Arabidopsis thaliana: one gene and its partner. The protein of the gene in region 1 interacts with the protein of each later gene in a pairwise test. Each region holds a gene or a part of one and is shown in the gene's direction. Other genes may lie near its edges.

What was found.
Region 2: the proteins of NDPK2 (region 1) and PP7 interact in a two-hybrid assay, tested with the Arabidopsis thaliana proteins (one study listed by BioGRID).

What each region holds. Positions count from the first base shown.
Region 1 is NC_003076.8:25,369,325-25,376,985, reverse strand, and holds NDPK2 (nucleoside diphosphate kinase 2), read left to right. Parts: upstream 1-3,081; 5' UTR 3,082-3,147; coding exon 3,148-3,387; intron 3,388-3,567; coding exon 3,568-3,624; intron 3,625-3,769; coding exon 3,770-3,856; intron 3,857-4,076; coding exon 4,077-4,157; intron 4,158-4,251; coding exon 4,252-4,364; intron 4,365-4,453; coding exon 4,454-4,503; intron 4,504-4,796; coding exon 4,797-4,864; 3' UTR 4,865-5,082; downstream 5,083-7,661. Other genes in the region: NPX1 (nuclear protein X1), read left to right, coding at 164-234, 401-473, 558-641, 731-855, 953-1,019, 1,112-1,242, 1,332-2,573; AT5G63300 (Ribosomal protein S21 family protein), read right to left, coding at 5,211-5,864; AT5G63290 (Radical SAM superfamily protein), read left to right, coding at 6,092-6,915, 7,007-7,637. UniProt on the Arabidopsis thaliana protein: Major role in the synthesis of nucleoside triphosphates other than ATP. The ATP gamma phosphate is transferred to the NDP beta phosphate via a ping-pong mechanism, using a phosphorylated active-site intermediate. May activate MPK3 and MPK6.
Region 2 is NC_003076.8:25,558,876-25,564,936, reverse strand, and holds PP7 (serine/threonine phosphatase 7), read left to right. Parts: upstream 1-1,620; 5' UTR 1,621-1,778; intron 1,779-2,012; exon of another isoform or gene 2,013-2,023; 5' UTR 2,024-2,028; coding exon 2,029-2,424; intron 2,425-2,502; coding exon 2,503-2,997; coding exon of another isoform or gene 2,998-3,012; exon of another isoform or gene 3,013-3,085; coding exon 3,086-3,232; intron 3,233-3,307; coding exon 3,308-3,415; intron 3,416-3,505; coding exon 3,506-3,601; 3' UTR 3,602-3,867; downstream 3,868-6,061. Other genes in the region: VPS20.1 (SNF7 family protein), read right to left, coding at 23-178, 313-465, 560-712, 946-1,047. UniProt on the Arabidopsis thaliana protein: Phosphatase active on para-nitrophenylphosphate (pNPP) and on various phosphoproteins such as myelin basic protein.

The sequences.
Region 1 (7,661 bases):
TTGCTATAGAGGATATTATAGTTAGTTTCTGTGGTTATCGTTTATGACGAATGAATTAAGTTCTTACATTGTGGTTTGGCAAACTGTAGAATTGATTCCTTTGCTTTATTTTTACTCATAGGAAGTGCTTTTTATACTGATGTGTTCTGTGATTATCTTTCAGATTCTGATTCTTGTAGTTCCTCTGGGAGTGAAACAGATTCTATTAAAGCTTCAAAACCCACAAGTAGAGAGGTATATCTAACAGTGGAATAACTTATGTTATGGAGTCTCTGTGTTTGGATGTTGCTCTAATTTCTGCAAGATTTTTCATTTACTCACCAATATTTCCATGGACTATTTGCAATCATAAAAGTGAAATTACTACAGAAAAATAAGTATAGTCTCCTCTTTAATTTAGGAAAAAAAGCAACCAGGAGTTGGTATAGACAAAAAAGAGGATGATAGCAACAGTGAGAAGATAGTTGTAAATGGTTAGTCTCTTTATAATTGATGTATGCAAGTTGGAGTGCTCGGATATAGAAGTCTTCCCGACACTCATTCTTTGTTCTCTGTAGATTCTTTGAATGAATTGGATCAACTTGAGCATACTGTTGGGGAAAAGTCAACCACCATGGATGCAGTAGTTCTCGTTCCAGATGGTAAGAAATGAAAGTTAAGGAAGGTTGGAGATGGTAATAGATGTTTATTTTCAGATCATGAGTTTACCTGTCATGCTTTGGTATTATAGAGGAGACTGCTCCACCTGAGAGGCAAATTTCCCCAGATTCCCCAGATAAGCGTTACCGCGCGGCTTTCTTGAAGAATCGTTTTGCTGATACCATTATGAAAGCTCGAGAGAAGGCTTTTACCAAGGTTGAATTTTTAAGTGTCCGATCTACTGTGTTGACGAAAAAGCTCGCCTGAACTTGTGGATTGTTTTAATCAAAAAATTTAATGCATCAAATTTCAGGGTGAAAAAGGGGATCCTGAAAAATTGAGGATAGAAAGAGAGGAGTTTGAAAAACGGCTACGGGAAGGTTGGATTGTAGTGCATTCGAGTGTGCTTATGTACCCATAATTCCTAACTAAATACTTTTATTTTTAATTCTTGCGATTTCCGTTTGATTAGAAAAAGAACGGTTACAAGCCGAGGCCAAAGCAGCTGAGGAGGCTCGGAGAAAAGCCAAAGCAGAAGCCGCAGAAAAAGCGAGGAGGGAAAGAGAGCAAGAGAGAGAAGCTGCACGTCAAGCTTTACAAAAGGTATAAAAGACTTTTCGAGTTTCTCTTCTATTATTCAGAGCCCTACCATGGTGTACAATCATGATAAATGACTTTCTGGTCTGTTGCAGATGGAAAAGACAGTGGAGATAAACGAGGGCATACGGTTTATGGAAGACCTCCAGATGCTTAGAGCTACAGGTACAGAAGGTGATCAATTACCGACTTCCATGGAAGTGATGAGTCCCAAGTTTAGTGAGGATATGTTGGGTTTGGGTAGTTTCAAGATGGAAAGCAACAGTAATCCATTAGAACATCTAGGTCTGTATATGAAAATGGATGAGGATGAGGATGAAGAAGAAGACCCGCCACACTTTAGCCAGAGAAAAGTAGAAGACAATCCCTTTGACAGAAGTGAAAAACAGGAACATAGTCCTCACAGAGTAGAAGGAGAGGATCAACTCGTTAGCGGAAATGAAGAGCCGGTGAGCCAAGAGGCACATGATAATGGGGACCAAGAAGATGGAAAACCCATAAACCCAAATGAAATAGAACGACAACTGGAGAATATGCCAGAGCAAGAAAGTGGAGTTGGTGACAAGGAAGAGCAAGAAACTGAAGTTGTCGATATGAGAAAGCAAGAAAATGAAGTTGTTGATATGGGAGTGGAAGAAGTACATCCCCTTGACCGAAGTGAAGGGCGTACACTCAGTCCTCACAGAAAAGAGAGAGAGGACCCACGTGCTAGCGGTAATGAAGAATCGGTAAGCGAAAAGGCACAAGATTATGAGAACCAAAGAGATGAAAAAATCAATCAAAGCGAGAGAGAAGAACAATTGGAGAATGTGCTAGAGCAAGAAAGTAGTAGAGATGATGATACAGGAGAGCAAGAAACTGAAGTTGTCGGAGTAGGAAAAGAACTTTCCCTTGACAAAAGTGAAGGACAAACACTTAGTCCTCACAGAGAAGAGGGAGAGAACCAACTCGATTGTGGAAACGAAGAACTGGTAAGCCAAAAGACACAAGATAATGGGAACCAAGAAGATGAAAAATCCATCAATAAAATTGAAGGAGAAGAACAATTGGCGAATGTGCCAGAGCAAGAAAGTAGAGTTACTGAAAAAGAAGAACAAGAAACTGGAGTTGTCGACTTGGGAGAGCAAAAAAGCGAAGTTGTCGAAAAGGGGGTAGAAGAAAATGAAGCTGTTGACAATGGTGAGGGAGTGCAAGGAACTGAAGTTTCGGACAAGGGAGGAAACGAAACTGTAGTTGATGGCAATGGAAAGGTAGAAACCGAAGTTGTGGACAAGGCAGGGCAAAAAACTGACCTTGTTGACCAGGGAGAGGAAGATATAGATGTAGAAATTGATTGATGAAGTCTTTTTTCCGGGTCTTGTTAAAAGCAACAAGATGAAAAGAAAAAGTTGGGGATGTTTACGCATTGATTCTTCTATGCACAAAATGTAAATTTGATGTGGCGTGAAATGGCTAAAGCAAGCAAAAGAAAGGCAAAGCCAGATACATCTAGAAGACAAGACGATGAGTCTGTATTGCCTATTTTTCAACGTGACTCTGTTGACAATGATTCTAAATCGACGAAAAAAGAAAAAGAAAAAAACAATTTTGCTACAAGAAAGATGGTTTGGTTTGGTATTAAAGCAGCAAATTGTGCGACTGTTGAAATGTGCAGACTTTTGTTTTTTTTAATCTTTTAGAAGAGTAAACTGTACAGGGAAAGAGAAAGAGTCTGTTTCCTCCATTTAAACGAGACACTCTTTGTACTCGAGATCACTTTTTAAATTACTTCTGAGCACTGATACTTTTTGATTGATCAACTAAACCCAAATTATCTTCGCTTCTGGATAAAGGGTATTTATGTCAATTAACTTTGTTCTTATAAGATGATGATGCGAAGACACTGAGAGAAGCTAAGACAAAGCGCAGAAAATGGTGGGAGCGACTGTAGTTAGTAAATGGACTCCCCTATGTGTGGCTTCGCCGCCGGAGAGAAACTCGGCAAGTCTCAATCCACACTGTTCTCCAGCCAGGGTTAATTTTAGAACAGCGTTGGCCGCATTTCGTCCTCAGTTCCGTCTTTTCTCTCGCAATTCCGCGTCTCGCCGCCGTCTTCGCGCTTCCAGCTCCGCCGAATCGGGAATCTTCCTTCCTCACCTTGTAGCTTCTATGGTTTGTGTGCTTCCCCTCCATTTATGCGAATTACTTTGTTTTCTTAGTACTTACATTGATTAAACTCCGAAATCAGGAATTTAGGATTCAAATTAGTTTGGATATATTCTAATTTGATGAATCTCAATGCAATTTAGTGACCTTTTGATTGTTCTTACGTTGTTTTCTGTATTGTTTCAGGAGGACGTTGAGGAGACTTACATTATGGTGAAACCTGATGGCATACAACGAGGCCTTGTAAGCGTTTTTGCTTTTCATTTTTTTTCTTCTTCTGATTTTGAGGTTAAATTATGTATCTTGGAACTCTATGGAGCTTTGAATGTTATTTCATTACACTATCTTGGCTTAAATTATGAATGTATGATTCATTTGATGTTCTTAGGTAGGAGAAATCATTTCTCGCTTTGAGAAAAAGGGGTTTAAACTTATTGGGCTCAAGATGTTTCAGTGCCCAAAAGAATTGGCTGAGGTTTGACACTCACTCATTACATCAGTAGTTTGATAACTTTAGATTGCTTCTTAATGTGATATAACTAATAAATCATTGACAAGTATCGAGAAATTGAAGCCTGATCATGACTTGCATATTTCACTTATTCGCTACATTTGCGTAAGATGACGCTGCCTCATTTTTTTTTCATATTCGATTGACATAATTAATATTCTTGTGTGTTTATCTCAATTGCCAGGAGCATTATAAGGATCTTAGTGCTAAATCATTCTTTCCTAACCTGATTGAGTACATCACTTCAGGTCCAGTTGTGTGTATGGTATGGGTATAACTATGCTCTAATTTGATTTTTACTTGTTTTCAAGTTGTAATTAGATGAGTTAATTGCATGTGATGTTTTAAACCTGGTAAAGGCTTGGGAAGGTGTTGGTGTTGTTGCTTCAGCCAGGAAGCTAATAGGGAAAACAGATCCGCTTCAAGCTGAACCTGGTACTATAAGAGGAGATCTTGCTGTGCAAACCGGAAGGTTGGACTTCTATCATCTTTAAAATTGTTGGAAGTAAGCACTTAAAATAATTCTCATGGTTTGATATTTTTAAATTATGCAATTTGCAGGAACATTGTGCATGGTAGTGACAGCCCTGAAAACGGCAAGCGTGAGATTGGTGAGATTTCTTGTTTTTTGTTCAAATCATTCACCCATCTTTCATTGTTGAGACATTGACTATGTCCAGTTTAGGGGCAAATCAACGTGGTTCAAACTGCTTCAAATTAACTTGATAACATAACTAGATTAGATCATACTTGATTACTGAAATTGTTAGGTTCAATATATCTGTTTTAAACCATTACTATCACTTCTTCATTTACTTAGTTTGACCAATCACTCTCATTCCTTAGTATGCTAAACTTTTAGTTTTCATTTGCTGACATTTTGGCTCTTGTGGTTGTGGCATAGGTCTGTGGTTCAAAGAGGGCGAGCTATGCAAGTGGGATTCGGCTCTAGCTACATGGCTAAGGGAGTGATCCTTGAGAAGACAGAGTCAATTATAATGGTGTCCTTACTTGTTTTCTTGTTACCGATGATGAGCTTTGGTGTTTTGTTCCTGATTTTGGGCGGCAATATAATATAACTGCCAATCTATGGCTTGATTCTTCTCATATCTGTGATCACTTGTCATGTAATCAAAACTAGTTACAGATTCATCTGCATTTGGTTCTACGTTACAGACACCTCCAAAATCATTCATCTTCACTCTACACCGAGCAATGAAAATTTTCTAATCTCAAGCTAAAAGAACATACAAAAGAGTGGCTTTACAAAACGCAGATGCTGCGTGATTAAGATTGCTCAGATCAGTGTACCGGAATATCATTCCGGTTTACTTCTAAGACCGGTTGGTATATGGAATCTCAATGTCCTCAGGAGGAAGTTCCCAGTGATCGTCTTGTTCGTCTTCTCTGGATGCATTTCTGTTGTGCTTGCGGATCTCTGAAGTTGATAGTGGTTTTGGTTTAGGGTTTGGTCTCCTGTAAAATCAAAATCTATTGACTCAACTTCTCCAAGTGTTTTTCGAAAGAAAGAAGAAAAAGTGAAAAAAAAATCTGACCTTTTCCGATACTTCTTCGCAGCTTCTTTGGTCTTCCGCGTCTTCTTCTCCAGAGAGCTCTCGAAGAAGCGTCGTCTTCGAGATTCCTGCAACACACCCGCTCTGAAACACGACCTCTTGAAATCGTTAACCAGCTGCTCCTCCGATTCGCCGTCTTTAGGCACCACCTCGACGTTGTAGTAACTGGACTTGAAGAATACGAGATTCGCGTTCGCCAGCGAAGGATACGCCACTCGATTGATGACGTCATCGTGCTCGGCCGTTAAAATCTTCGTCGTCATCGACAAATGCTGTGACGTTCTCGCGGATACGGAAGACGGAAGCGTGATAGGTTTCAGACTCGACGGAGACGGTGGTTTCGACGAGAGAAGGGAAGAGAGAAGCTCCGAGAGAGAGACTATCGATTCTAGCGCCATTTTTTTTTCCGTCTGAATAAGTGAATAATCGTTTCATTCTTATTATAATATTTTTCAATTGTAATTAGTGTGTTAATTAGATGGTCAAGTCTTTAGTGAGTCTACTTTCTGACTAAAACGACGACGTTGAAGCATATAAAACGAGACCAGTGAACTTTGATCTTTGAAAGCTTTCTCTCTTCGTCTCTCTGGCTCTCTTTCTTTTTCTCTCGTTTTATTTGGTAATTATGCTGAAAACAACGATTTCTCCAATTTTCTCATCGTTTACAGGTAAACCCAAGTGCTCATCGAAGTTGTTTTTTCGAGCTTTTAGTAAGGTTGTTCTACAAGATACTCCACCAAGTGCTCGACGAAATGCGTCAACCAATCTTACTACGTTACACAAAGGTCCACCAACCTCAGCCTACGTTCATCTTCCGTTTTGTCGCAAACGCTGTCATTATTGTGACTTTCCTATCTTAGCTCTAGGCATGTCTTCTTCTTCAGCCAGACCGTCTAATGTCTACGAGGAAGGAAAAGAAGATGACCCGAGAATCACGAACTATGTGAATTTGCTTGTTAGAGAGATAAAAGCGACAAGGACGGATTTTGATACGAACCCGAATCTAGAAACGGTGTTTTTCGGTGGTGGGACGCCTTCTCTTGTTCCTCCGAAGCTTGTTTCTTTGATTCTGGAAACATTGAGTTTGAATTTCGGGCTGAGTCCAGATGCTGAGATATCAATGGAGATGGATCCAGGCACGTTTGATGGTCAGAAGCTGAAGGATTTGATGAAATTGGGAGTTAACAGAGTGTCTTTAGGAGTTCAAGCTTTTCAAGATGAGCTTTTGAAAGCTTGTGGAAGAGCTCATGGTGTCTCTCAAGTGTATGAAGCAATAGAGTTTGTTAAAGAATGTGGAGTTGAGAATTGGAGTATGGATCTTATTTCTTCTCTGCCTCACCAGACTTTGGAGATGTGGGAAGAGAGTTTGAGATTAGCTATCGAATCACAGCCCAATCATGTTTCTGTATATGATCTGCAAGTCGAACAAGGCACAAAGTTTGGAAATTTGTAAGTGTACGTAGTTCAAGTTTGCTTACTGATGCTTAAGAACTTGAATGTAATCTGAACAGAAACGAATTGGGTTCATGAACTTGTGTAGGTACACTCCAGGACAGTCCCCTCTTCCTTCAGAAACACAGTCTGCAGAGTTTTATAAAACAGCATCATCGATGCTCCGTGGTGCAGGTTATGAACATTATGAAGTCAGCAGTTACTCGAGAGACGGTTTCAAGTGCAAACACAACTTGATATACTGGAAGAACAAGCCATTCTATGCTTTCGGTTTAGGTTCAGCGAGTTATGTTGGAGGGTTGAGGTTTTCAAGGCCAAGGAGGCTAAAGGAATACACAAACTATGTCGCTGACTTGGAGAATGGCGCAGCAAACTGGTGTGGAAATGGTGATGTTGATCTTAAGGATGTTGCAACAGACATCTTAATGCTATCTTTCAGAACATCTAAAGGGCTTGAACTTAAGGAGTTTGGAGAAGCTTTTGGCAGTGAGGTAGTGAAATCAATCTGTAAAGTTTATGAGCCTTATGTGGAGAGTGGGCACATTGTTTGTTTGGATGATATGAGAAGCGAAGTGATGATTGATGAATTCAAAACCTTAGTTGCAAATGATGAAGTGAAGATTGAGGATCATGTGAGGTACCTTAGACTGAAAGATCCAGATGGTTTTCTCCTCTCTAATGAGTTGATATCTCTATCGTTTGGCGTGGTAGCTCCTTAAACCTTAAAGCTACTAACAAGAAAG
Region 2 (6,061 bases), 190 kb from region 1:
AATTTATTTTGTAAACCCATACCTGACTTTCTAGGTTGTCAAATTCTGCTAATATATCTTCCTCATCCTCTGCTGATAGTTTCTCTCCCAATATAGCGTTCAGCTCCTGACATTCGGAAATGTAAATAGAGTCATCAAACACAAAAGCTCGACAAAAAAGATTATAGAGGTTTTCACACTAGACGAGCTCAGAACAAACTGTGCCACACAAAGCAGTGATCAAATAAGAAGATATTTACATTCTGACAAAGCGGATAACGTAATAATGAATCATAAACAAATGATACGAAACCCGAAAGTATTTTGACTCACATCTTGATAAGCTTTAGCATCAGCAGTATCATCCATTAGTTTTTGAACATCATCAAGGTCCAATTCGCTTTGAATGGCCTTAATAGCACTATTACCCTGCTTTAAGCTCTCAAACACTGCCTTTTGTTTGCTCGTAAGTTCAATATCTGTTAACTGCGAGTTCACATGAAAGTTTGAGAAAGCCATAATTATGCATCAAAAGAGACGATGCCGGATACAAAACATACACACAAGGAGAAGGATTTACTTGTTGTTCAACATTGATGACCCATTGATCCACTTGCTTCAATAACTCTTCTTGAGTTCGTTTCTTCCTCAATGCTAACAAAGCTCTGTCCTTTCGCTTTTCACGGATTAAGTCTCTTGCAGCTTGCTTTTCCGCTTCAATTACTTTCTCAAGCTAAATTAGCAAAAAAAATGAGAAGATCGGTTAACAAAGAGATGAGCCAAAGAACTCAAAAGCTTGAGTCTTTCTTTTCCATCACACTACTAACAATCATAAGACACATATTGTGAAACGAATCAAATCCAATCTCCAATTAGGATTTTGGATGAATCAAAACTATATGATCTGGGTTCCAAAAGAAATTGTAACAAAAGAAAATTAAGATATAAGAAGAGAGAATAAAAAACCTTCTGCTGATATTGACCAAGCTTGCGTCTTTGGGTTTTGAGAGAGAGAATCGCTCGATCAACCTCCGTGATCTGTGGTTTCTTCACGAACAAATTCCCCATCTTTTCTTCACTTATCGAAACCAACGATTCGGAAAATCAAACGAGCAGAAGAAAATTTAGCAAGATTTGATCTTTTGACGAAATTGATTATTAGTCTCTAGATTTCCCAAAAATGTCGCCAATTTCAAACCAAAGTCCAATTTTTGTGTTTCTTCTCTCTTTCTGCTTTTCAGTACAAATATCTCAAAATAGAGGAAAAGCATGAACCGGACCGAAAAAATGTAAAAATCGATATCGAACCGATTTTAGTCGGTTTGATTTCATCCACACTGAAAAATAAAAAAATCGAAACCAAACAAAAATTCCTTGGATAGTACCGTAAACAAAATCAAGCTGAAATCGATAAGTAACCGAATAGACCAATGTATAATTCGGTCTCCCAATTTTGTTCAAGTTTATATCAAAACCAGAACAAACCGGTTGGCCACCTTTAACAAAATCTCGAACTCGCGTTTTCGATAGCGCGTGATTGCAAAACGCTATTGCAGCGTCACGACAAAAAAGGTTTGTTCGTTTATTAAACCGGCCGGTTTGGAATCATGAATTTGATTTGAATCCTTTTAGCTGGTTAACCGACGTCGTTTGAGTAAATGGATCCAAAGCCAGACAGATCCTAAATCTCGTCGACGACGGTGTCGGGACTGAAAGCAGAGAGAAAGCAAAGTAAGCTAGCTTAGCTAGGTCCAAGATCCAAGCTTTGGAATTTTGTAAATTGTCTCCACTCTTAGCCGGTGAGTCTCACTCTGTTCCGAATTATTCTTTGTGATATGGATTTCGATTTCCCATGATTCGATTTTGTACTTTTTGCTCTTCTCTTGAGTTTAAAGATGTACGAATGAATATATACAGATTCGATTTTATGTTCTGGTGGCTTTGATCGCTGAAATTTGAAAACTTTGTCTATGTTTCGATTGCTTGATACTCTTGTTTCACATGTTCATACTCTGGAATTGATTATAGATTAGTGTTTTTACAGTTTTAATGGAAACTGTTCCACCATCTCCCATTACATGGCCAGATGGGGGAGCTCTCACTAACGACTGGGTACATGGGCTTATGTCGTGTTTCGAATGGTCTTCATGGAATCTACCTCCTTCCCAGTTACCTTCACTATTGCCTGTCAACGTCTTTGATTCCCTCGTCCTCACCGCTCATAAAATCCTCCACAAAGAACGTAACTGCGTTCATATCGATGATCTTGACTCTGTATCCAACGTTGTTGTGGTTGGTGACATTCATGGTCAGCTTCATGACCTTCTTTTCCTATTGAAAGATACTGGCTTTCCTTGTCAAAACCGGTGTTATGTTTTCAACGGAGACTATGTGGATCGCGGTGCTTGGGGACTTGAAACCTTCCTTGTTCTCTTGTCCTGGAAGGTAAACTCTTTACTAAGCTGTTTTACTATTGGCTCAAGTCTTAGTATTCTTAAAGCACATATCTTTTTGGTTGTTTAGGTTTTGATGCCGGACAGAGTCTACCTACTCCGTGGTAATCATGAGTCAAAGTATTGTACATCTATGTATGGTTTCGAGAAGGAAGTGCTTACAAAATACGGAGACAAGGGAAAACATGTGTACCGGAAATGTTTGGGTTGCTTTGAAGGTCTTCCTTTGGCTTCCATAATTTCTGGACGTGTTTATACAGCACATGGAGGGCTTTTCCGCAGCCCAGTCTTGCCTAAGCGAACAACAAGGGGGAAAAAGAACCGTCGGGTAGTTCTTCTGGAACCTGAGCCGAGCTCAATGAAACTCGGTACCTTAGATGAGTTGATGCAAGCTCGAAGATCAGTTCTTGATCCTCCTTGGGAAGGTTCAAACTTGATACCAGGAGACGTTTTATGGTCTGATCCTTCAATGACTCCGGGCCTTTCACCAAATGAACAGAGAGGCATTGGTCTTCTTTGGGGTCCCGATTGTACAGAGGATTTTTTGAAGAAATATGAACTGAAGGTGACACCAAAGTAGATATTGATGCTTGTTTGCTTCCCAAATACTGATATGGATGATTGGATCAAATGTTTTACACTTATTGGTGCAGTTGATCATCAGATCACATGAAGGTCCAGATGCTAGAGAGAAGAGAACTGGTCTTGGTGGAATGGACAATGGATATACAATAGACCACAATGTCGAATCCGGAAAGCTTATCACTATTTTCAGTGCACCTGACTATCCGCAATTCCAAGTATGTATTTTTACGCCTTTGGTATTTGCATTTTCTAAAGATATGCGTTAACAATCATTTTTGTGTGTGGTGTAGGCAACAGAAGAGAGGTACAAAAACAAAGGAGCATATATTATTTTGCAGGCGCCTGATTTCTCGGATCCTCAATTTCATAGTTTCGAAGCTGTTAAACCGCGACCAAAGGTAACTAACTTACGATGCTGATAATGAACCAACGAGTTGTTTTACTTCTTTGATACACATACATAGCGACATCGGTTTTTAAATGTGCAGGCGCATCCATATTATGACTTTGAAAATGTCATTGATTCTGATGATGAGATGGATAAGTCAGCAATGGACACCAATAACGAACAACCAAATAGCTGACCGAAGCTGAAAAGGAGTATCTTGAATTGATGTTTTTTACAGTTGTTGTGATTGCTCATTATTTGCAAACATAAAATGGAATCAAATGTAAAGAAAAGAGATGAAGAAAATCATTTGTAGAATTCACATTTAAGTTATGTATGGAAGATGAAGAAATAAGAACCATCTTAAATCTCATGTAGTTCTTAGTTTCTTGGTTCCTACACGTCTTATTTAAACCTAAATCTTGTAAGATTTTGCTCTGTTTTGTCAGGTTAGCCTAAATCTTGAGAGGTCAAACTTGCAGTAACTTTCATTGTATAGAATTGCTTTTAACTGAATGATAAATCGAGTAGTAGATTAGTCCAATGGAAGTTTGTGGATCAAGTTATGTGTCTGTCGGCATTATAGTTTTCCTTTGAAATATTGACACATTACTAGAATCTTATCCAACAAAAAATTGTGTGGTTATGAAAATCCTAAGTAACGAGACAGCTTATTAAATGCCGAATTTGGTAGCAATTTGTTCAGATGAATGTATGTCTTCTTGTAAAAGACAGTATGAAGTGGAGGTTGATGCTAACTATCTTATGGTTCCTTATTGCACTTTGAAGCATTTATTGCAATTGTTTTCGGTTTTTTCTCTTGAGTGGGCTAAACTAATAATGGTCTGTTCTTTCTCTAAAGAGAGAAGAATTCGACAGGAGCGTGAAGCATCTTCATTCGCAAATATAACACATTAAAGCTACCTCTAGCATCATCTGTGTGATTCTCTCCAAGGTCATTCGTTGTCTGTCACGGGGCATCTCAAGTAATAAAGCTTAAAGTTAACTGTCTTTTCAGCCAAATAGTTTCATCATCTAAATATTCACATGATCTTCCATATTTCATCACCGATTATGGTTACAACATTTTTGCAAACCCTAAAATTTGTGTTATCGCCAAACTTGACCCTTATACCGGAACCCATGTGGGTGGGTGTTGATTTTTACTGTTTTGTAATTTGTTCATCGACAATCATTGACATGTACTCACCGCAATGTTTTTTCTTTCCTAGTTTCATGTGCATATATGTCTCTAAACAGTAATTGTTTAGCACTTCATGTCAAGCTTAAATTATTATAGGTGTCTTATCTTGTCTCTCTAGTATTTTCTGTTGAAGTCATGTGCATTAAATTGTATATAGTACTTCCAATGGCTTTCATATAATTTCCATTTTTCCACAAATTGTTCGTAATGATGTTTATTTAACAAGATTATAAAAGATAATGCAACAAATTTGTGTGATGAATGATGAGATGAACCCATTTGAAAGAGGTCGCAACAAATGTCAACATTAGAGACCATCTTGATCTAGAGTTTTGTCTCGTTGACTTTAATGCCAAAATTGGACAATACATATAATGCATGTATCAGGCAATGCAAAAATATCTTCATTCATTTAATTTTCTTACTATAATAGATGTCACAACTTCCCTCACTGACAAGCATATAATGTTGGTTTTATCTCAATGTAAACAACCTTTTAGTTTCACATAAATGTTAGGTCGAGCGAGGTGATATATTCGTTCCAGATCGGATGAAACAAGTAATTCATCGATGTTACCTTTATCCATATGTATATGTAAGATTATGGGTTTTAGGTAATCTAGTAAGTACTACTAAGTAGTATCCGTATGTAATTTTTTATTTATTTTTATCCGTTATGTATAATTTCTTTGGCCGTTTTCGCAAAATCTATATTTGGATGTTTTAGATCGTGAATTGATATATCTTAATTTGAATATTTAGGTATTCATATATTTTGAATCTATAGTTGACCTGTTGACCATGTATTTTGATTTGAATATCTCGCTCGATCGATAGAAGATTTTTTTTTGTTTTTGTTTTGTTGATAGTAGAATCTTCAAGTTGTAATTTAACAAAAAAAAAAAAAATCAAGTTGTAAGTAGACCGTATATCTGTATATTTCCATATGTAGAACCATGCATTTTGAATAATTGAATAAAATAACATGTAGCAAGACGTATCTTCATATGATAATCAGAATCATAATAAAAAGACAAACTGTACACCATATTGTAATCCAGGTTTAATTTGACCTCTTTGAAAAACTAAAATAGCTGAACTGAATATTTATAACTAAAAAGACAAATTGGATATGTCACTTTGGACTATGAAACTCAGAATTTTTTTTGACTAACGTGTATACTTTCACACGTGTGCATGACTAAAAACATATGATTAGGCTCTTACGATCTATGCGCCTTACACCTGTGAATGATGAACACATAAAACACAAGTTACGATCTAGAATGTCATGTGTACTGGCTTAAATCTACTTATGTGAAGAGGTAAATGAAATGGTCAAGAAACAAAAAAAAAAAGAAATGGTGAAATTATGAAAGTATAAAACTTTACCGGTGAGGTCCGTATTTGGATTTATTAAGTGAAGAGGGACCCTTTTGCAATTAAAGCCTG